Linked DNA regions of Chlamydomonas reinhardtii. Each later gene encodes a partner of the first gene's protein in a complex. Links are inferred from orthologs where the notes say so. Each region holds a gene or a part of one and is shown in the gene's direction. Other genes may lie near its edges. The genes, in order: CHLRE_01g051100v5, CHLRE_17g712000v5 and CHLRE_16g688750v5.

Region 1 (7,083 bases):
TGGAGTCCCTGAGCCGCGCCGGCAACAACGACCTGCCGGCACAGCACGACAACAACAACAACAATGGAGGTGCAGGAGGTCCAGCCACCTCACTGCCGTCGGTCACGCGCAGCATCGACATGGGCACCCTTAGCCGCTCCGCCTCCCTGCCCAACGCGCACGGCGGCTCACCAACACGATTTGGAGGCGCCGGGGGTGGCGGCGGCTTTGGTGGCACCGCGGCGGGGCTGTCGGCAACGGGCTCCAAGGCGCCCACGCACGCCACGGGCCGCTTCTCCCGTTTCTGGGACAGGCGCTACGCCGACACCAGCCACATCACCAGCGTGGACCCCTGCAGCGCCTCCTATGCGCCCAGCGAGGGCACCTACGTGCGCAAGGGCTGGGGCAGCGGCGACGCCAGCTCCGACTTCCTGACTTACCAGGGCGCGGACCGGGACCAGCGCGCGCGGCAGCGGCAGGCTGTGGCTGTGCGCACCACTGCGCGGTCCGAGGTGGAGGCCAAGCTGTCCGGCCTGGACGACGCCAGCGGGCTGGACGACGGGCGGCTGCAAGTGGCTCGTGCTACCAAGCAGCGGTGAGTGCTTTGGGTGTGGGGAAGAGGCGTTTGCGTCGGCCGTGCCCAAGGACAGCACGGAGAAGAACAATAGGAGACCGACAGGGGGGAGTTGAATGAATTCTCATGGGGTTATGGGAACCGATGCAGCACGTGGAGACGATGCCGGTGCGTGCTGAATGTCCTCCCTGCCTGGCTGCCCTGGCAATGCCGTTGCAGGTACGAGGAGCGTGCTGAGATGTACGACCGCACACGGCAGCAGCATGAGGGCGGATCCTGCATCTTTGGCCGTCTGCCGCCCTTCCACGAACACCAGCTGGAGGCGGCCAACACCCCCGCGCGTGTCTTCTGGTAGACGCGGCGCTCTGGTGATGGGCGGGCAGATGGTGTTGGGGGATACGGCGTCGGCTTGATTGTGGTATTGCGGTGGCTGCTGTGCGTGGTAAAGTGGTATATATGGACAGCATCCGATCTCTGTATGCGAGACCGCGGGTGATGCCACGGATGGGAGGCGAGCCAGGATTGGGTCGGTGGGTCGCGCCCATATTGGACTCACGCGACCCACATACATAGTATCATGAAGGGCATAGCTAACACCCGCTAAAGGGATAGGCACCAGGCCGCCCAGCTGGAGGGCCGGTTCGGCAGCGGCAAGGAGACGGCCGCCCAGCTGGAGGGCCGGTCCGGCAGCGGCAAGGAGACGGCCGCCCAGCTGGAGGCCGGCGCCGGGCCGGCCGCAAGCGCCTGAAGAAGACCAACCCGGTCTACTACTCGGGACGCGCCATGCAATGGGGGTGCCGGAAGTGGATCATCACGAGGAGGTGGTCGCGCAGCCCAGAGGGTCGGTCGTGGTGCGGTGCAAGCACTGCCAGACGACCACCTCAGTCAGCATTAAGAAGTGGGGCCTGAAGAAGGTGAAGGAGGTGATTGACCTGTGTGACAGTGAGTAGCGTGCCGGTATCATACTTGTGCTAGTACAAGAGCTACTTGGCCTGCATGAGACCGACGCTGCCAGTGGCACGTGGGGATGAGGTGATTACAGATCCCTGCGAAGGGACGCTGTCGGAAGGCACAGCATTAATATGGCGGCTATCGAACTGGTCAACTGGCATACCACGGAAATAGGGGAGGAATGCGGCGTGGAGCTTACGCGTGCAAAAGGGCACACGCAGGATGAAGGCCGGCTCGGGCCTTTTACGGAAATCGTGGCCTTTTGCGTACGATGTGCTTAGTACTGCGGACAGGCGCCATCCTGCAAAAGCGGATGCCACATGGGCACAGGACTGCAATTCATGAAGTACGGACTGAGTCGCAATAACCGCTGGGCCGTAAACAGTAGATGCAAAGGGCCTGGATATCTCTGTAATTGTATACATGTGACATCACGCGAAGGGTATCTATATATAGTAATGTCCCCAGAAACATAGTTCCCCCAGCCCAGGCACCGGTGATAATCATGGAACACGTCGCCCTGCGCCGGAGACTGCCCCCCCCCCCATATAACCAGTACCGCGCTACCGTGACCCAGAGCTGCTGCATAGTGCTGATAATGAATCTGAGCGCCCGAGGCGGGAGCGAACTGAGCTGGTGGCGAGCGGGAATGCTGTTGCGCGTGTCTCTGGCATTGCGCCTTAAATGGAAAGCCAAGGCTCAACCCACCACAGCCCGACAACGCAGAGCGCCGTGGCCCAATAGCCAGTGGCACTATATAGACGACCCCAGAACGCATGTATGACGTATGGTATGATAACCCGGCCGCGTCACCACGTCAACGTGAGACGTTGTCCGGGGGCAGCGCGGGAGGGCGCGGGGGGGGGGGGCATGGGGAGAGGAGGCTGCCCAGCGTCAGTGCGTCACCCCTTGGCCAGACAGTTCAGACTCCGTCAAAGGCAACCAATCACGAAGGTGAGCGTCGAGTAATTAGTAATTAGTTATCGCGCAGTATGCGTGCGTGCGGAACCGCCCGCATGAATCAATGCACGCATAGCTCAAGGTGGCTCGGGCGGACGTTGTCCATAATATGATAGTTCGTGCCTCTGAATCTGTGGAATCGACTGTAGTTTAGTTGCATACGTTCTGCGTTAGCCGGGGCAACGACCACATTTCCAGCCAAACTTCTCTGAGCCGCTGCTGAACTGAGCTCCAACTGAGGTCGGCGACTAACCAAGCTTAGGGCCGCCGCCGTGGACTTCGCGGCGGGCCAAAAATGTCGCTGCTCGGCACCTTGCCGGCTCCCCAGCAAAAGCACGCAGCCCCGATCGCTCCGGTGCCTGCTTCTGCGGCAATAGTTTCAGCTTCATTCAAGGAGCCTCCGCCTTATTTGCGGCGCAAGGGCTGGGTGCCCCGGCGAGCTGAGGACTTCGGAGATGGCGGAGCCTTTCCCGAAATTCATGTGGCACAGTATCCACTTGACATGGGCAAGGGCAGCACTGGCGGCAAGCAGCAGCTAGCAATCAGCGTTAACGAGAAGGGCGAGATCAATTACGATGCGGTGGTCAAGCAGGGGCAGAACAAGGACCGCGTAGTGCACTCAGACCATGGCGCACTTGTGCCGAAGGTGGACCGGCTCAGCAAAGAGGTGAGCCGCTGGTCTGCGCAACGCGGGGGAAGGTCGGGGTGTGCGGAGGCGTGAGCGGCGCTGGTGTGGGTGGTCGCAACGAGGACACCCGGAGCCGCCGCGGGTAGTACGTCGGGAAGGAGAAGAGCATACAGGGAGACTTCATTTGTTGATACGGGGGCCGGGCGATAAGAGCGCAGCCAGATAGGCGCCAGGAGCGGGTGGGTTACGGCGCGGGGTATGCAGCCAGCACACAGCTCGGCACATCTCAACTGCTGCGTGCGCCGTGCCCACACTGCTGCACCGCACCTATCCCAGGCGCTCGCACGGCCCGATGAGGAGGATGTGGAGAAGACGGTTGCGGAGACGGCGGCTGCGCTGGAGCGGGTGGTGCAGGGCAAGCTGTCCAGCGTCAACCCTACCAAGCTGCCGGGCGGCCCGGGCGGCTCCACACTCATCAAGTACACGCCGGCGCAGCAAGGCGCGCAGGTGAGGCATAGGCGCGGTATGCGGTCGTTTGCGTACTACTGTAATGGAAAATGGCTTGAGAGTCGGGGCCGTTCTGGTAGTCGTGTCATACCGGCAAGGTGTACCGGCGCCGGCCTCCGCAACTCTGTCGGACCGCTCTCCCACTGCGACCCCCCCCCCCCTCCCACACACACACACAACACTCCTTGCACCTGCCGTCACACGCCAGTCCTGCTCCTTTCTCCTGTACGCAGTACGCCAGCGGCGCGGGCCAGCGCATCATCAAGATGCAGGACCTGCCGGTGGACCCGCTGGAGCCGCCCAAGTTCCGGCACGTCAAGGTGCCGCGCGGCCCCGGCTCGCCGCCCGTGCCCGTGCTACACTCGCCGCCGCGGCCGCTGACAGTGAAGGACCAGCAGGACTGGAAGATCCCGCCCTCCATCTCCAACTGGAAGAACCCCAAGGTGGGGCTTTGGGCGTGGCTGTCGGGCGTATGTGCGGGTGCAGAGATGGCTTGGCCTCTCTAATCAATATGGGCGGGGTTGCCGTTTGCTCCTTTCTGTACATAAACCGGACTGTGCATTCCCTGAACCCGCACCCATTCCCACCGCATCGCCCACCGCTTCCGCGACGCACAGGGTTACACCATCCCGCTGGACAAGCGCCTGGCTGCGGATGGGCGCGGGCTGCAGCAGACGCAGATCAACGACAAGTTCGCAGCGCTCAGTGAGGCGCTGTTCACGGCGGAGGCCAAGGCGCGAGAGGCCATCACCATGCGCGCCAGCATCCAGAAGGAGCTCGCGCTTAAGGTCAGCAGGGGTAGGGCGGCGAGCTAGGGGTCTAAAGGGAATGGCGGTTGGTGTGAAGGGCCGAGTCTGGGGTGGGACTGTTTGTGGTTGTACGGCATTGGGGGAGCAGTGGCAAGAGGGAACGGATAGCGGGAACGAAGCGGTTTTACAAGATGCGGTTTGCTTGGCATGCCTGTGGCCCAGCTGTGTTGCCTTCCTCAACTATTCCTGCCCCGAATACCCACTGGCCACCCGACTGACCGACCTTTCCCACCGCGCTCATTGCTGTTGCCCACAGGAAAAGAACAAGCGCGAGACGGAGCTGCGGAACCTGGCCATGCAGGCGCGCATGGAGCGGCAAGGAGCGCCGGGCGCGGGGGCGGGAGCCGGCGGCTTGCCGCCTCCTCCGCCCTTGGCGGGGAGAGGTGAGCGCATAGCGCTGCACGGGCGCCTGCAAGGAACCAAAATGTTGGGGAGCCATCACAGACTGCTATCCTTGCTCTGAACATACGCATAACTTAAGAATGCGTATAGGATGCATCTTGGATACGAAATGCAAGGTTGCTGAGTTGCACGGTTGGGCCGCGCTGTCTGCCCGCAGCGGAGGGCTCGCTACCCGGGCCTCCGCCCGGGCCGCCGCCGCGCGGCGCCGGCGGCCGCGCCACCGCCGCAGATGCCTTTGACGACCACGAGGAGGACTACGACCGCCGCCGGGAGCCGGAGCCAGAGCGGGAGCGGGAGCGGGAGCGGGACCGCGGCGGCGACCGGGAGCGCGGCGAGCGGGACCGGGACTACGACCGGGATTATGACCGCGGCGAGCGAGGCGGATACGTGAGTGGGGCGTTGGGAGGGTGGTAAGGTAGTGCGGGGGTGGGCGGGGCCTTTTAAAGGCCTTGGACGGTCTGCTCAGGCTGGGGCACACAGCATTTAGTTTGGCGTCCTAAAGCACCTGGCTGCGTCCACATCGCTGCTACGGTTTCGCACGGGCGCCATATGAAACTGCGGATAGCGGCAATCCGTGGTCTGTCCACCTCATGGCAATCGCATCCGCCACTGCTCGCTATAGACCATCATCCCTAGCTGCAAATACAACCGCATGCGTCCTAAAGCACCTCGCTACGTTCATCATTGTGGCTACGGTTTCGCACGGGCGCCAAAGTAGTTACGTGTTGGGTGGCTTACTGGTAGCCCTCCTGCTGATGTGGGCGCCGCAGCCGCTTGTCGCTACAGCATGCATCGCCTCCTTTCCAGATCAGCAACACACAGCTCGCGTCCAAAAGCACCTCGCCACATTCTTTTGTTGTGGCTACGGTTTCGCACGGGCGCCAGAGTATTTGCGTGTTGGGTGGCTTACTGGTAGCCCCCTACTTGTGGGAGTTGCTCACTTGCTCTGCGCTACATCGCACAAACGTTTCTATGCTTCGACTTTACATAAAAGATGCGTCCTTAAGCACCTTGCCGCGTCTCAAATCGTGGCTACGGTTTCGCACGGGCGCAATAGCAGCATGCGTGAGGCGGCCGCACTTGCTGCCTGCATGCGTTTGGCAGCAGCTCTGTGCCGTCGTGCGCGACAGCAAGGTACCCAGGAACGCGAAGGAAATGTTGTGCGCACCTCAAGGATTAGCCGTGTCGCATGTTGCAGCCAAGGCATCACACAGTGGTTTGCGCAAGCGGTTCGTCTGTCTGATGATATCGCTCCCCGCAGCACACTTACGCTTGGCACCTATGCACGCCGTCAGTAGTCAGTTGCAGCCGGAAACCACGACCTGCACACCCACGTGGATCAACAGTTGGCGCCCTAAAGCACCTAGCTGCGCCCCAGTCGCGGCCCGGGTTTCACACTGGCGCCAGATGAGACCTCGCACGGGCACGGGACTGCAGCGCCGAAGACAGGCCGCCTGCAAATGGATACCCTTGCAACATCTTCCACGGCCATACCACGTCACCACCGCACCCCGGCCCACGCACCCTCTATTCGGTACAACCTTGTCCCTGACAGTATACTTATCCCCGGACCACACAACCATGTCCCCTACAGGACCGGGAGCGGGAGAGGGACGCCGACCGCGGCGGCCGGGGCGGCGGTGAGGACGAGCGGTACCAGGAGTCGGTGGCGGAGCGGGAGGAGCGGCGGCGGCGTGACGAGATCCGCGAGGAGCGGCGGAGGGAGCGCGAGCGGGAGCGGCGGCTCGAGGTGGGGAGCGGGCTGGGGTGTTGCGGCGTGGGTGTAGGACTGGGCGGACCGGATGGGGAAAATGCACAGGTGTTACCTTCAAGTCTTGCTCCAATGGCGTGTGTCGGCCCCTCATCTGTGTCAGTTGTTGTTGCTTTCATGCTGTTGCGCTGCGCTGCACCAACGCCCTCGCTGCACTTCCCGCCCACTCTCTGTACCGTGCGCACGCACACACAGGCCGCCAACCAGGGCGGCGCCAAGAAGAGCAAGATCACTCGCGACCGGGAGCGCGACATCAGCGAGAAGGTTGCGCTGGGCATGGCCAACGTGGGCGGCGGCGGCGAGGTGCAGTACGACCAGCGCCTGTTCAACCAGGTGAGGGTGGAAGGAGGAAGACTGGACAGGGTCGCGATGGGATGGGAAGGGTTGCCGTAGCTTTTGTGTGGGAAAGGGGGCCCTGGGGACGGCCCAGGGGTTGATTGAGGGAGGCACCAGGGCGACGGCTCGTGTGCGGTGCTCGAGCGCCCCTCCTCCCAACATTCAA
Region 2 (7,053 bases), on another chromosome or scaffold:
TATATGCAAGTGAGCTGCGTGCGAGTAAACTGTGAGCAAATTGCGAGGATGGCCAGGGATGCACTAGCGCGCTGGCGGCGTCGGCCCTGCTATACTGGCGGCGAAAGCAAGTCTCTTTGCCCCCCCCCCTCAGGCATGCCCTTGCGGCGCTGCCCGCCAAGATGCACTAGGACTCCGGCCTCTGCCCAATCCCGCAATACCTCACGGAACAGCTGTTGCAATGGCGCCTCCAGTTCTGAGGGCACCTGACGCTGCCATCGGGTCAACCACGCCTTCACGAGCTGCGCCATCGCCACGCGGCGGATGACAGGGAAGGCCTGCCGTAGCCCGAACATGTCTGGTGGCCCCGTCGTGATATTTGCAACACGTGACGTGTAGAACGCCCCGAGCATTTGCGCCCACGCTGCGGTGCTGTCGCGCCCCTCTTCGCCGAACTGAATGAGGCTTCTGACGCAGTCTGATGCGCCGTGCTCATCCAGTTCAGGCAGCTTTTTCAGCGTGCCGTTGAGTTTGAGCAGCGGCATGGTGATCGCAACGTCCAGCATCGCAAGCAGCTCGCCATCAGCAGTTGCATTCGCCGTGTTGCCAAAGAACAGCTCTAGTGCCTTCTGCACCAGCGGCTCTGTGGCCTGGGCCAACGTACTTTGTGCCAACAGCGCCAGGATTACCAGCGCCAGCACGCTGGGAGTCCCCAGCCCGTATCGTTGCTTCATAGGCAGCGAAGCACTGTAGGGCTTATTTCATTTATGCTTTTGCAATAAGGCCATAATAGCAGTAAAGTGAGTAGTCTTGACCAGTTTGTGTTTCGCGTGAGCAAATTGAAGGACAACAGCTCGAATGCTCTTTGTCGCTTCAAGTCAATCAGTGTGACCCTGTATTACTATGTAAAACTTGCGTACAGAAGTTGTGGGCATTCACGTGAGTGCGTGCCTTGGTTCCAATTTCCCGGCCCCCTCAACCGTGCGCTTTTCCCGGGGAACACTTGTCCCGTGCCGACAGCTCGCCCTGGCTACTGACGCGTCCCGCTTACAAACAGCAAAGCGGATGCCGCTTGCATACTCACACCGTGTGACAAAGCTGCGCACGATATCTCGGTGCTACGTACACGGCAAATGGCGTGACATGGCACGGCGCTCACCGGATCGGGCGAGCGAAACAGACAGGGGCGCAGTGTAGGGGTGCTTTGCAAGTCGGCATCAATCAGAAGCTTCTTTACATCAGGACCAGCTCGTCGCTTATTTGTGCTGTCAAAGCGTGTGCCCGCTCAGGCACACCGGCACAGCTCCGCATCGGGGCCCACAATCCACTCCCCGCCACCATCGCATCTGCACGCGTGCGCTAGCCCCAACCTATCTCTCCTAAAGGTCCCTGCACGCTCACACCGTCGCGCCCTCTTTCAATATCTGCAGTGAGCCTTTAAACGCTGCCGCCGTGGCCCTGGCGTCCCCCAGCTGCTTGTCCAGCTCCGCCAGCTGCTGCCGAAGGTGCTCCTGCCGCGGCGCCACCAGGCCCCGCACCTCCCCTAGCGCCGACTCCACGTGAAATCCTAGGCCCACGGACACGTAGATCCTGCTGACGTCTGGCACACGCGCCGCGCACTTGACATCGCAGCCCACGTCCACACGCTGGCCCTCGAGAGAGGTGGCGCCGTCCTGAATGCGGTTAGGAGGGGTTGAGGTTAGGGTGGGGGTAGCAGAGGTGAGGCGTTAGTGCTGGGATTGCATGGCGATGCGAAGTAGAGTTTACAAGTGGGTGCGGTGCAAGAGAGGCGAGGTACGCATGCGGGTAGCGGGGCATAATGGAGCTGGCTCGCCGCCGACCAGGTTGCAACGGGTGTTGCCCGCACCCAGGCGATAACACAACCTTCCAGATGCTGCCACTCACCTTGACGAACGTGGCCACACCGGCCACAAGCTTTTCGTACTCGTCTGTGAAATGACACCGCAAGAGCAACGGGTGGATGTTGCGGCGGCGGGCCAACGCGTTGATCCACAGGCCATATGTCCATAGGCCAGGCAACGGCCTCACTCCTAGTTTGAGGCCCTTCTTCCGCCGTATCCCACGGCTTTCCAACGGCCACTCCTACCCTTGACACAGTTTGGCCCTCCCAGTGTAACTGGACACGCCCGCCCCAAACCCCAGTCCGTCCAACTCACCCGAGTCCTCTTGCAGCTTCGCCCTCCGCTGTTCAAGCTTATCGATGTCTGCCTCTAGTTTCTCCTTGTATCCCTCAAATTTCCCTAGTTGTGCCGCTAGTTCGGCCTGCGTCAGTGGGGCATCGCCGACGTCACTTTCCGCAGGCCGCTGCATCGTTACCGCTGGTGCAAGGAATTCACAGAGCATCAATAGGGCTTCTGGGCAAGCGTGTGTTTTGTTACAGGCTGGCGCAGACTTGGGATTCATGTAGGCAATCCGCCCAGCTGAGCAAAACTCCTGTCTCTGCAAGCTGCATGCATAAGACGCTGTACTCATAAGGGCATAATTGTTCAAGGTCTGCATCTGCGAACGAACTAACGAGCGAGGGCGAGGGTTAAAAGGAATCTTCTGAAGTCGTTTCAGCGTCTAGGTTTAGGTTCAGGAGCAGGTGGCTATGGCGCGTGTGTATGTCGGTAAGTGAACGATAGTATGCTGAGCTGCTCTGGCTAAGGGGGCAGCCGCTGGCACCGCTCTTGGCAGTCACGCCTCGTGTCTTCGGCTGTCCAGGTAACCTGCCCTCGGGCATCCGTGAGGAGGATTTGGAGACAGAGTTCGTGCGCTTCGGCAGGCTAAGGAACATCTGGGTGGCGCGCAAGCCTCCAGGTGAGCGAGCGAGTCGCTGCAATTCTAGCGATCGCGGCGCGCTGTGCACCGTGCTGACTTTCTGCGCGCCCTATTGTCCTCCAATTTACCGCAGGATTTGGTAAGCATACACGCACCTCGGGAGCAGCGCAGGGGCCAAGACAGGCGAGGGTCTAAATGTACTCGGCACGGCCAGTTGGGCTCGCCGCTCTACGCTGGAGGCTGGACAGAGAGCGCATTGACCTAACCCCCGCAGGATGACAAGCCTCGCTGATGCGACCACAACCCAGCCTGACCTACTGTCGGCCCACCCTCCTGCGCTCCCCAACCCCGTCGCACGCATCGCCTTCTCCTCTTCCCATCTCCAAGCACGACCCCATCAACGCACACCGCCTGCGTCATATATGTACTGGCGGCAGCTCATCTGCTGCCGCCCACTGCGCCTTCTCGGCTCGTCCTAGTATCGCATCGGGCCCGTCCCCTTCCCTCTACCCGTCGCCAACCCCGCCGTCCTCGCCGCGCCTCAGCCGCATCACCCTTCACCGTCAGCTACACCCATGCCCTTCAGCAATGGCCCCTGTGGCCTGTGCACACGTCAGCAACGACCACGCCTCAGCCACTTCAACCCTCACCAGCCTGCACCGCCTCACCTGCAACACCGCCCCCACACCTGCCACCTGCTCGCCCACTGGCGGCCACCCGCCACCGCCTGTGCTCGCCCCACCCTCCCTGGCGTAGGTCGTGGGTTGCACAGGCAGCGCGCGGCTTACACTAGCAGTCCTCGTGACTGCACACACGGGAAGCAGCTCCTCGCTTGCTCCGCGCCTGCCCTTTGCCAGCAGCCTCATTCAGCCTCATTGGATACACCACAGGAAATAGAGCCTCTCAACAACATTGAAATGCCGTTTCCTGACGCCTGCGCCCTCCCTGTAACTTCCTCCGCTCTCAACCTGCAGCGTTTATTGAGATGGATGACCTCCGTGACGCGGAGGACGCGGTGCGCGCTCTGGACGGCATGAAGGGCTGGGTGAGTCGCGACGCAACGTACGTGCTGCCGGTGACTTGACGAGGTTGTGGGTGACCTGGGTGTGTGTTGCGCAAGGTAGGCTTGATGTCAATGAAGTGGATCGCTTATCATGGACACAGAACTAAGTGTTGTTTGGCTTGCTATTCCTTACTGCAGCGTGTGGAGATCTCCCGCAACCGCGGTCCGCCCCCAGGGCGCGGCGGCGGCGGCGGCGGCGGCGGCGCCTTCCGCGGCCCCCCCCCGGACCGCTTCGACGACTTCCGCCGCAGCCCGCCGCGACGCCGCAGCCCGAGCCCTATGCGCCGCCGGAGCCCCAGCCCTTACGGCCGCCGCGCCAGCCCGCCGCGACGCCGGTCGCCCAGCCCGCCGCGCCGCCGGTCGCCCAGCCCGCTGCGCCGCCGGTCGCCCAGCCCGCTGCGCCGCCGCAGCCCCAGCCCGATCCGCCGCCGCAGCCCCAGCCCCATCCGCCGCCGCAGCCCCAGCCCGCCACGCCGGTAAGCGCTTTTGTATTGATGTGTGATCACAAATACGTTCTGTGCCGCCTCTTGACTCGCGTGCTGTCGAAACGTTGCGGGTCATCTGGCGGACTTGGGCGGACAGCTATTTCAACGCATTGCTTCAAATGTTCACATTAGTCGCCCAATCCTTCAAACGTTCATGGTTCCTTTTGTAAACGTAGGTCGTCCCCGCGCCGCGATAGCCCTGTGGGCGAGCGCCGGCCGCGTAGCCCCAGCCCCATCCGTGAGCGCTCAGCCTCGCCGCCCCGGCGCTCGCCGCCGCCGCTGCGGAGCCGCAGCCGCAGCCGCTCGCCTGTACGCGACTAAGCATGGCGGCGAGAGTTGGCCACGGCGCTTTGGCCGTTGGCCAGAGCAGGGTGTGTCACTAGTGACGTGTTTGTTAGTTTACGTGATGTGGGTACTGGCAGTGCCGGGTAGTTCGAGGGGCAGGACGAGGGGCAGGAGAGGGTGCACAAGCGCTTTTGTGATACAAATCATGAAGTCGAGCCCGATTGGCTTGATGGTCATGGCAGGCGCCGCCAGAGGTGCCCCCGGGCGCCGCAAGGGCAACCAGGCATGCTGCAGTGGAAGGGATAGGATGGCGACGCCTAATACAATGAAGTGACGAGTCTGGTGTCCCGCGGAGGCAGCGGTTGAGCGCCCGTTGAGAGCATGCGGGCGCGCAGGAGAGAGTAAGTGCGGTGCTTGCGCGTGTGCAGGTGTGCTGCGTCCCAGGCATGGGGGCTATGGGGCGACACGAAACATGGAGCTGCAGACGCCAAGGAGGATGCCAAGCTGCCGGAGTGGAGGCATGGAGCCAAAGCAACAAAGCGGAAATACAAAGCTTAGGGAACTGTAACGCACTGGCTGTTATGTGCCGCGACTCATGTGCAGTAGCTCAAACCCCACGCCCAGACGGCCAGACCCCTGCGCGCACAGCAGGCATTGGTCGTACTCAGTCACCTTCAAGGCGTTCAAGCTTTCATCCGTTCCGGTCATCCAAGCTATCGTCCAGGTCACCTGAGGGCCCGTCTGTCCGTCCCGTTGATGAGTCAAGACTGCTTATCACTCCAGGATTGTCCGCGTCCCGACCTGTAACCCATCGTCCACCGCCGCAGCACCCTGCGCCGCGGCACGGGTACTAGCACCACCAGCACCGGCGGCTCCACCAGCCTCCGCACCTTTAGATCCTGTCCCTACACTCTCCGATTCCGCTCTTGCTGTGGCCCCAGCCCCAGCGCCGCCGCTGACGCCGCCTCCTATCCCTAGGCCCACCGTCCCACTTGCCCCTCCTGCCATGCCTGATACTTTCCCTACAACCGCGTTCGCTGCGCCCACGCTGCCCCCGCCATCGCCAACGCCCGCACCCGCGGCGACCGCGGCGCCCCCTACTACCCCTGCTGCCCCTCCTCCTGCGCCCGCCACTGCCGCTCCCGCCCCCACGCCTGCCCCTGCCACCAACCCCACCCCCGCTCCCGCTGCTGCCGCGCCGCCGCCGCCATTCCTTGCGCTGCAGCAGCGCTGCCATGCGTCGCGGCCCTCCACGCAGGTGGCGGTGGCGGAGGCGTTGACGGTGAGGAAGTAGCGCCAGCCGCGGTGGGTGCGGCCGGCAGCCTTGTTGGCGGCCAGGAATTGCGAGTGGCCCGTGCCGCGACCCATCTTGGCCTTGTAGTCCTCGGCACTGCGCGGAGTGACGCGAGGGATGGTGGGGAGTGATGCGCGTGTGGTGGTGGCAAGGGCGGGTGAGCCCTGATTATGTTGGCTCAAGCAAAGCTATGCGTAGGACCTAGCGCATTCGTACAGCAGCCAAAGCCTCGTAAGAAGCATACGGTACTAGGTGCTGGGTATGTACCCACGGTATGTACCCGTTTCTGTGTGATTTCATGCCCCATGACCACGGCCGCCGCCCGCCTCCCAGCCGCTGCACCTGCGCGTGACGTAGTGGAAGACGGCGATGCGGTCCCAGTGCACCGCCTTGACCACAGAGGAGGACAGCTCCTGAGGAGTGATTGGAGTGAGGAGGGCGGAGTGAGGAGTGAGGAGTGAGGGCCAGGTGCCAGTAGGCCCCAATGAGGCAGAGCGCCGGGCAGGCGCAGCAGCAGGGAGCGGCAGAACGGAGCAGGCGTCAGCGCCCCGGTCACGGACAACAGGTCAGCAGGAGGAGTACAGGCCACCCGCATGACAGTTGTCAGGTGCCGTTCTGCAAGAGCGGCGAGGCCCGCACTTTCCGGGCCTCACCCACCAGGAACTTTTCGTTGACGTATCTGCATCCCGGCTTGAGCTCGCACACGTGTGGGTTGCAGCCGCGCTGGTAGCACCTGCAACATACCACACGTCACAGCGCACCGCATGCAACAATGACATTATCGGCTCCCTACCATGTCACCACGGCACGTTCGGAAACAACACCAGCGAAGACATCGTGGTTGAGCCAGGGCCCCGATCGCTAGCCCATCCGCCATGCGCCATGCCGCTCTGCGCTTCCGCCCTCGGCACCCCCGGCCTTATTGCGGCTGCCAGCTCCTCACCGTGTGGCTGTGATGCTCTTGACAAAGCCCAGCGGTATCGAGTTGAACTGCCGCCAGTTCTACAGTCAACACAGCGGCGCACAAGAATGTGTGCCGTGATGGGCTCAACTTTGCTGCTGCAGCTGCTCCGCAGGCCTGCATGCTTGCCAGTCCGTCAAAAGCACCCCATCCCTGCCACTCTGCCGGTGCCAGAGATAACCCAGATCACTGCGACGCCAGCACA
Region 3 (6,849 bases), on another chromosome or scaffold:
GTTTTGTGTAACTCGACCTGCTCGCTCCGTGCTTGCTGTGTTCGCGCCGCAGGCCAAGGCAGAGCGCCTGGCCAAGGGCCAGTAAATGCCGCGTGTTGTGGCGGGCGTCGCCTCGCCTTGTTGCGTGCGCGTAAGGAGTTCCACGGAAGCGGAGGCCCGCCGTTGGCTGCTGCAGCAGGGCATACGTCTCCTATAGGGCGATATGCTGTGCAGCAAAGCCTTACGCATCCAAGCATCATGACCATCGCTGCCTTCGCATACTCGCCGCTCCGCAACCGTGGCCTCCCGCTATGCGGCCTGGGACAGCGAGGACGCCAAGTGGGCAAGTGCATACCGAAGAGAGTTGCTTGGCCTGAATTCGTTGGGACAGGGCATTGTTTTGCCTGTTTGTGTTGGACTGCTTGGCGTTGCATGTCTCCGTTGGCGTACATAGTAGTCGAAGATATGCAGAGGTTGACTGACTCGCGGGGGCTGGGGCGGTGATAGCAAAGAAGTCGGGGAGGGCCCGTCGCATCCATTCCTGCTCATTGGGTGCAGATCCTGGGTAGAGTGTTGTACGGACAGTGGGATGAGGGAGGTTGAGCGGCAGGACGCGCTCGGTGCGCAAATTGGGGGCAGCGGGTCCGGACGATAAGTACAGCCAACCCACACGGCAAAGTTGCGGGATACATCATATTTGACACTTGTGTTGACGTTTGGGCATGCCCTGCGCAAGAACAGATCGAGTCGCATATTGTACGGGAAGCAGTCCCGAGGTGTTAGTGCGTGAATATAGGTGTGCAGCGTGCTGTTTGATGGGCGTGGCGATACACAGGCGGACTGCGCGCCAGGGTTGCGAGGGTGGTGAGGATGGTGGAAGCGCCACGGGGCCAGGCACATGCACACGTGCCCCATACATGCGGGAGGCGGCCACATCACCCACTTTCTCTGCATACAACATAAAACGCGCCGACAGAGTCCGGCCTGCCCATCAGGAGCCGCGGCGAGGCACCTTCTCGTTTGCTTTCCACATGTGTGTGTCACATACGGTACCGAGGTTGGTGGGGTGCTTGGTGTGGATTTGATTTCCAAATACCGGTAACTGGTTGGCTTGCAGGAAGTCAAATGTGTAAGAACGGTCACTAAGATGCTTAAATGCGAATGCAGACGGCAACGGAGTTTGTTGTCCCTTGCAAGCAGTGACAGCGGTCAGCAGAACGCACTGAGAGCAGACATGTTACCTCAAATGGACCTGCACCCACCCAAACCTGCACCTGCCCATGTGAGGTGCTAGATAGGTTGATCCTGTCTCAGCGCTAGCCCTCTTACACCGTCCTGAGTGGTCGTCTGTTTTAGGCGCGAACTCAAGTACTCAACACATTGCTTCGGCGTGCAGGGACGCCGCATTGGCGAGAGCCACGGATGGCCCTAATACCCTGGGGGCATGTCGCACCCGTGGAGGGCACTGTGAGAGTAACTGGTATCTGTGATGCAGGCGATGTGTTTACATCGCCAATCCGTGGGCCCAACGCACCGTCCCGCAGCACCCCAGCGCTCGGAACGAGCCAACCGTGTACGCCTGTCCTCTACCTCCACACACCAATGCGGCGTTACGATGCGCCGAGCATACGGTAACATACTGCAGCAGAGAGTGCCTGCCTATCCTCAGCAGCATCTCCACACATGCGCAAGAGCGCCAGCCAACGCAAACTTCCCGAGACAAGTCATGCACGGCGTCCAAGTCAAGGCACATACACACATACTCAACAGTCATACGTAAGAACGACACGCACACAACAATGTCCTTTGTCAGGTCTCTTTACTCATTGCTCACAGGCGGATAAGCCTCTGCTAATGCTATGCGCACAGAGGCGCACACCCCACCAACGTTCCAGCAACCACGTCTTCCCGCACCCAGACCCATCACAAAGCTGGTCTGCGAACGAGGCACTCCTCTGTCCGTTCATGGAGCACGCGCGTGAGCAGGGCGCCCCGTGCCAGCTGCTTACTCATCGCCCTCCACCTCCTCCATCTCCTCCTCCTCGTCCTCGTCACCTGCAGGGTATGCAGCATGAGCACACGGAAGTGACTAACAGGTAAAGCGCTGTGGCAGGAAGGTGCGTCCTACGCATTGATACTGCGAAGCGATCGACCACAAGTCAACTGCTGGGTGCCAGTCAACTGGGAAGGTGGTGGATGCGCGATGCGCGCCACGAGGCGGCAACGCCTCAACCCAAGGACGACCCTCTTTCTCCCCTGGCTTCACGCAGCTCCGCGCGGCTCCGTCCCCTCGCGTGCCCCGCACCCCGCAGCCACCCCGCCGCCACCACGCCCACAGCCACCCAGCCCACTCTTGCCCCAGGCCCCCATCCATCCCTAAATCCGTCCCCACACGGCACGCCACACGCCGAACCCCAGCAGCACGCCTCACTCACCCTCCTCAATCGTCTCCCCGTCCGGTCCCGCGGCGCCGGGCGGCACCAGGTACACCTGCCCGCTGCCGTCCTTGGGCATGACCACGCGGTAGCCCATCTGCTGCAGCATCTTCAGCATGGCTGTGTTGTTGCCGCCTGGCCCCGCCGCGGCCGCGCCCGCCGTATCCACCTCGCTCTCGCTGTACCCCTCCATCACCTCGTCGTGTGGCTGCACCTCCACCTCCTCGTCGTCGGCGCCGGCCAGCAGCGGGCCCTCCTGGTCGCGCTTCACCTTGTAGTCCCGGCGCGGTTTGCGCTCCGCGCCAGCCTTATCAGCGTCAGCCTGCTCGGCCTTCGCGGCGCCTGCCGCATCGGGCGCCTTGGGCGCCTTCTTGCGGTTCTGTAGGAAACGGCGGACCAGGTAGCCACCGACCAGCACCGGCAGGGCCCAGGCTTGCACGATGTTGAGGGTCGCGTCGACCAAGTTGGTCTTGGCCTTTTTAGATTTCCATGTTTCCTTGGCCGATAGACTAGACCCGGCGTAGGTAGACATGCTCGACGAAGTGCAGACTAGTTCGCGAGGTGCACACAGAGCCGCCCAAGCAACGCAGTGTCAATTCCGCAAACCCAGTGTAGGCAACTATAGATATACTGAGATCTAACAGTGATTGCTTGGAATTCATTCCAGAACGAGTATTTCGGGCGAGCTCGCATGGACAGCATGGACCACGGTGCAACAAGAGTAAAGGAACAAACATACCGTAACTGCATTCTTTCCTCATACTACACATTTTGTGCACAAGAAAGAGCTTAAGGCCGCTGCGCGATACCAACAAATCTTCCTGCTGCGCGGGGCTCTGGCTCCTCCCAAAAAACAATTGTCTCATGTTACTATAGTCCAAAGTAGCAAAAATGAACAATGATGACTTCCGAAGACTGCTGGCAACGCCCAGGGCGGAACGCTTTGGCGGGGAGACACCCGCAGCAGGCAAGTCTGGGCAGGCGCAGGCGCAGGCCAAAGCCAAACCCACGGGCGAGTACCGGCCCAAGCCCAAGCCGGGCTTCAAGAAGCCGACTGACAAGAAGAAGGAGGATGAGGACGAGGACGGGCCCAAGTACAGGTATGACGGGTCGCACGGCTTGGGTGAGGAGCGCAGTGGACACGCAGGCCGTGGGCACCTCCCAGCTCCCACACGAGCGGCCGGCATGGGCGCCGCTATTGGCGACCCCGCGACACCGATGTGCATGCTGACATGAGCCTAACGATGCACAGCGCACATACTCCACTGGACTCGTGTCACGCACCCTCCACGCGTCATCCACCACGCCCATCCTCCTTGAAACCTTGACAACCAACAGGGACCGCGCGGAGGAGCGCCGCCGCGGCAAGAACAGCGACTACGAGGACGCGTCCGCGGTGCTGTCTGCTCTGGGGGGCAGCGGCGGCGGCGGCGGGGCGGGTGGCGGCGGGCCCCTGGGCCCCGACATTGGCCAGGTGCGGCCCTGGGCAGGACTATGGCCGGGGGGCCGTGTGCTAGGAGAGCACAAGGGGGGCGGTTGCCTGTGCCAGTATGCGACGATACTGCTGAGGCGGATGATTTAGGAGAAGCGGGAGGTTACTTGCAGCGCCAGCCGTGGCAGTGCGGGCTTTGTGGCTTGGGCGTCTTTCCCTGTTGCTTGAGGATGAGGGTGCTCGACTGCGGCACATGCCGTCCGCATCCAATAAAGATTACCGTTCCTTTGGCCGTAGATGGTCCTTCATTGGGCCGTCCCGTCTTGCATGTTGTCATGTCGCAACCTCACACTGTGTCCTGCCCGGGCTGCCGGGGTGGGCAGGTGGATCTGAGCAAGCTGTCGGAGGAGGAGACCAAGTACCTGGGAGGCGACATGCGCTTCACCCATCTGGTGAAGGGTCTGGACTACGCCCTGCTGCACAAGGTGGGGGCGTGGGGCCGTGCTGGCGTGGGGGGCCGTGCTGCCGTGGGGCCGTGCGGTCAGTGAGGCACTGGCAGCGGGGTGCTAGCCTCCTGGGGAAGGACAGTAAGGAGGAGGGGTGTGTCACGGAGTGCCAGGATCGGGGAGCACCTGGGACACTGGGGGGAGCGGGCAAGGCTGGGGCTGCAGACAATGGTAATGAACCGCTAGACAAGTCTTTCAACGCATGCACGCTGCATATGCGCAGACGCGGTCGGAGATCACCAAGAAGGGAGACAGCGACGAGGAGGATGAGGAGCACGGCGAGGGGCACGGTGCGCGGAAGGAGGCGTCACGAGAAGCGGCGGCGCGGGCGGCCGCCAAGGCCAACGCAGCGGCGGGGCGCAAGGAGGAGGTGTGTGCGCATCCGGTCGTGTGCGAGGTGCTTCGAGAGGGCGCCCCAAAAGGAAAGGGTTGGACTGGATTGTGAAGGGGGGGGCTCATTCTTGTATGCTGAAGGTCTTGGTCCACGTAGAGCCTGCGCCGCACGCCTGCGACGTGTGACGGCTTCTAATGCCCTTCACGACTCCCGCTTCTGACCATCCCACTGCCCACACCCGCGTTAGCATATCCGTTCCTTGCGCGTACACACATGCTCATGCCGAGCAGGTCCGCTTTGTGACGCCGCTGGCTCGCTCCGTCTTCAGCACCCTGTTCGCGCCGCCGCGCGCCTCCAACGTGCGGGAGATGTACGGCCCCCGCCGTACGGCCTTTGTGTACGACTTCGACAACGAGGACTCGCCCGACACCGACGTGCCCACCACACTGCGCCGGCCCAAGAGCGAGTGCCCGCAGGTGCGTGCGCCGGCTGCCTGTGCTCCCGGCCCTGGAGGCGCATCTCCAGTGCCCCGTGGACCCATGCTGAGATGCAGTGGGTACCGCACTTTGAATGCGCTCGCCCACGCTGCCGTAAAATATGTTGTCCCATTGCTGCCCGTGTAGGTGGCTGAGACGCTGTTTGCGGCGGTGGACAACGCGGTGTTGGAGCGCATCGCCAAGATCATGAGCTATGTGCGCACCACCGCGGACGGCAAGAAGCTCAAGAAGAAGGACCGCGACGCGCTGCTGGTGCGTGTGGGGGCTTTACGTTGGGTTGGGTAGCTCCGGGTGACTCGGTGGGTGGCTGGATGACTGGGTGGCTGTGCGGTTGGGGCATCAGCAAGTGGCATAAGGTCGGGTTCGGATTAACCGGTCGCCAGTTACAGGTTTGGGGGCTGGGGGTTTGTGCGCACGTGTTACGCCATACAATGGAGGCGTGGAGGACACGCAGTGAGGGGGGGGGCGCTATTTCACAGGCCGCGCAGTCCAGCAGTGGCGATAGCGAAGGTCTTCGCACCGCATTACACCCCAGCGTACGCGTACCTGTCACACTAACAATCGCACCGCCAATCGCGCCTTGCGCATACCGCCCTTGCGCATACCGCCACTGTAGGGCATCAAGTCTGAGGCAGACGCCGCCGAGAAGGACCTCGCCGGCGTCTCGCCTGGCGCCCCGGCCTCGGCCGCGGCCGCGGAGCCCGCCAAGCCGGCCGCCCCCGTGGACGACGATGAAGACATATTCGGAGACGCCGGCACCGACTACCAACCCACCACCAAGGGGGCGAAGGCCAAGGATGCGGCGGCTCCACCGGGCGCCAGGTGCGGCCGGCGGGCGCTTTGGGCTGGAAGGCGTGGCGTGTTGGTGGCATGGGGGCTCGTGATTACCCTCGGACTTGTGTGTGCGCTCAACGACCTGTCTCAACGACCTGTCACCCGCGTCGCATATCTACCGCATCGGCCATGCCTACAGCACGCACGCACGCAATCACGCACACACGCACACGCACGCCCGCCGTCGTCTGGGCGGGCTTCGTCTCGTTTTTTAACACACACGCCCGCGCACGCACGCACACAGGCGGCCGGACGGCTCCTACTTTGACACCAAGGACACCATGGACGACATCGCGCTGCCCGGCACCCGTCTCAGGCGGCCGGGCGGCGGGGCGGACCAAGGCGCAGATGGAGGCGGCGGCGGCGGCGGCGGCGGCGATGATGACATGGACTTGGAGGAGGGCGAGGCGGCGCCGGCGCCGGCACCCGGGCCGCAGCCGCAGGGTTACGGCGGGCAGGCGCAGGTGGTGCAGGGGTACGATGCGTACGGCAACCCGGTGTACGGCGGGCAGTACGGCGCAGGCGGCGCGTACGGGCAAGCGCCGCAGCAGGTGAGGGGGCTGCGTGAGCTGAGTGTGTGAGGAATGCACTGCGCCTCTGTACGTTATGTTGGTACGCCGAGGCAGTGTGCTTATCAGCGCGCGAACAAACACATTGCATGCACACACATACTCACACGCATACACAGGCACTCATTTCCCATGTGGGCTTAGCAAACAATCAAACGCCCCCAACCGTGTAGGCCGCCAACGCCTACGGCACCGCAGAGGAGCCTCGCTGGAGGGCTAGCCGCACGCGAGTGAGTCAGACTAGCACTAGCATGTCACCTGGG

The links.
Region 2: CHLRE_01g051100v5 (region 1) and CHLRE_17g712000v5 share a complex: the UniProt entries of both Arabidopsis thaliana proteins name them as parts of the spliceosome. The link is inferred for Chlamydomonas reinhardtii from reciprocal best matches to the Arabidopsis thaliana genes SKIP and RSZ21.
Region 3: CHLRE_01g051100v5 (region 1) and CHLRE_16g688750v5 share a complex: the UniProt entries of both Arabidopsis thaliana proteins name them as parts of the spliceosome. The link is inferred for Chlamydomonas reinhardtii from reciprocal best matches to the Arabidopsis thaliana genes SKIP and SMU2.

Annotation. Positions count from the first base shown.
Region 1 is NC_057004.1:7,069,380-7,076,462, forward strand, and holds the start of CHLRE_01g051100v5 (uncharacterized protein), read left to right. Parts: upstream 1-2,476; 5' UTR 2,477-2,759; coding exon 2,760-3,131; intron 3,132-3,428; coding exon 3,429-3,599; intron 3,600-3,832; coding exon 3,833-4,042; intron 4,043-4,216; coding exon 4,217-4,387; intron 4,388-4,664; coding exon 4,665-4,791; intron 4,792-4,967; coding exon 4,968-5,197; intron 5,198-6,404; coding exon 6,405-6,560; intron 6,561-6,776; coding exon 6,777-6,914; intron 6,915-7,083. Other genes in the region: CHLRE_01g051050v5 (uncharacterized protein), read left to right, coding at 1-574, 773-908. UniProt on the Arabidopsis thaliana protein: Splicing factor involved in post-transcriptional regulation of circadian clock and flowering time genes. Associates with the pre-mRNA of PRR7, PRR9, ELF3 and GI, and is necessary for the regulation of their alternative splicing and mRNA maturation.
Region 2 is NC_057020.1:2,066,978-2,074,030, forward strand, and holds CHLRE_17g712000v5 (uncharacterized protein), read left to right. Parts: upstream 1-2,478; 5' UTR 2,479-2,590; coding exon 2,591-2,609; intron 2,610-2,703; coding exon 2,704-2,799; intron 2,800-2,893; coding exon 2,894-2,899; intron 2,900-3,734; coding exon 3,735-3,805; intron 3,806-3,961; coding exon 3,962-4,299; intron 4,300-4,484; coding exon 4,485-4,629; 3' UTR 4,630-5,173; downstream 5,174-7,053. Other genes in the region: CHLRE_17g711900v5 (uncharacterized protein), read right to left, coding at 201-713; CHLRE_17g711950v5 (uncharacterized protein), read right to left, coding at 1,377-1,652, 1,885-1,928, 2,157-2,310; CHLRE_17g712050v5 (uncharacterized protein), read right to left, coding at 5,368-5,983, 6,230-6,300, 6,545-6,620, 6,831-6,889. UniProt on the Arabidopsis thaliana protein: Probably involved in intron recognition and spliceosome assembly.
Region 3 is NC_057019.1:3,685,162-3,692,010, reverse strand, and holds the start of CHLRE_16g688750v5 (uncharacterized protein), read left to right. Parts: upstream 1-3,175; 5' UTR 3,176-3,305; coding exon 3,306-3,514; intron 3,515-3,752; coding exon 3,753-3,888; intron 3,889-4,229; coding exon 4,230-4,331; intron 4,332-4,575; coding exon 4,576-4,722; intron 4,723-4,976; coding exon 4,977-5,162; intron 5,163-5,309; coding exon 5,310-5,435; intron 5,436-5,799; coding exon 5,800-6,005; intron 6,006-6,261; coding exon 6,262-6,568; intron 6,569-6,759; coding exon 6,760-6,816; intron 6,817-6,849. Other genes in the region: CHLRE_16g688850v5 (uncharacterized protein), read left to right, coding at 53-85; CHLRE_16g688800v5 (uncharacterized protein), read right to left, coding at 1,985-2,034, 2,415-2,946. UniProt on the Arabidopsis thaliana protein: Auxiliary spliceosomal protein involved in splicing of specific pre-mRNAs that affect multiple aspects of development.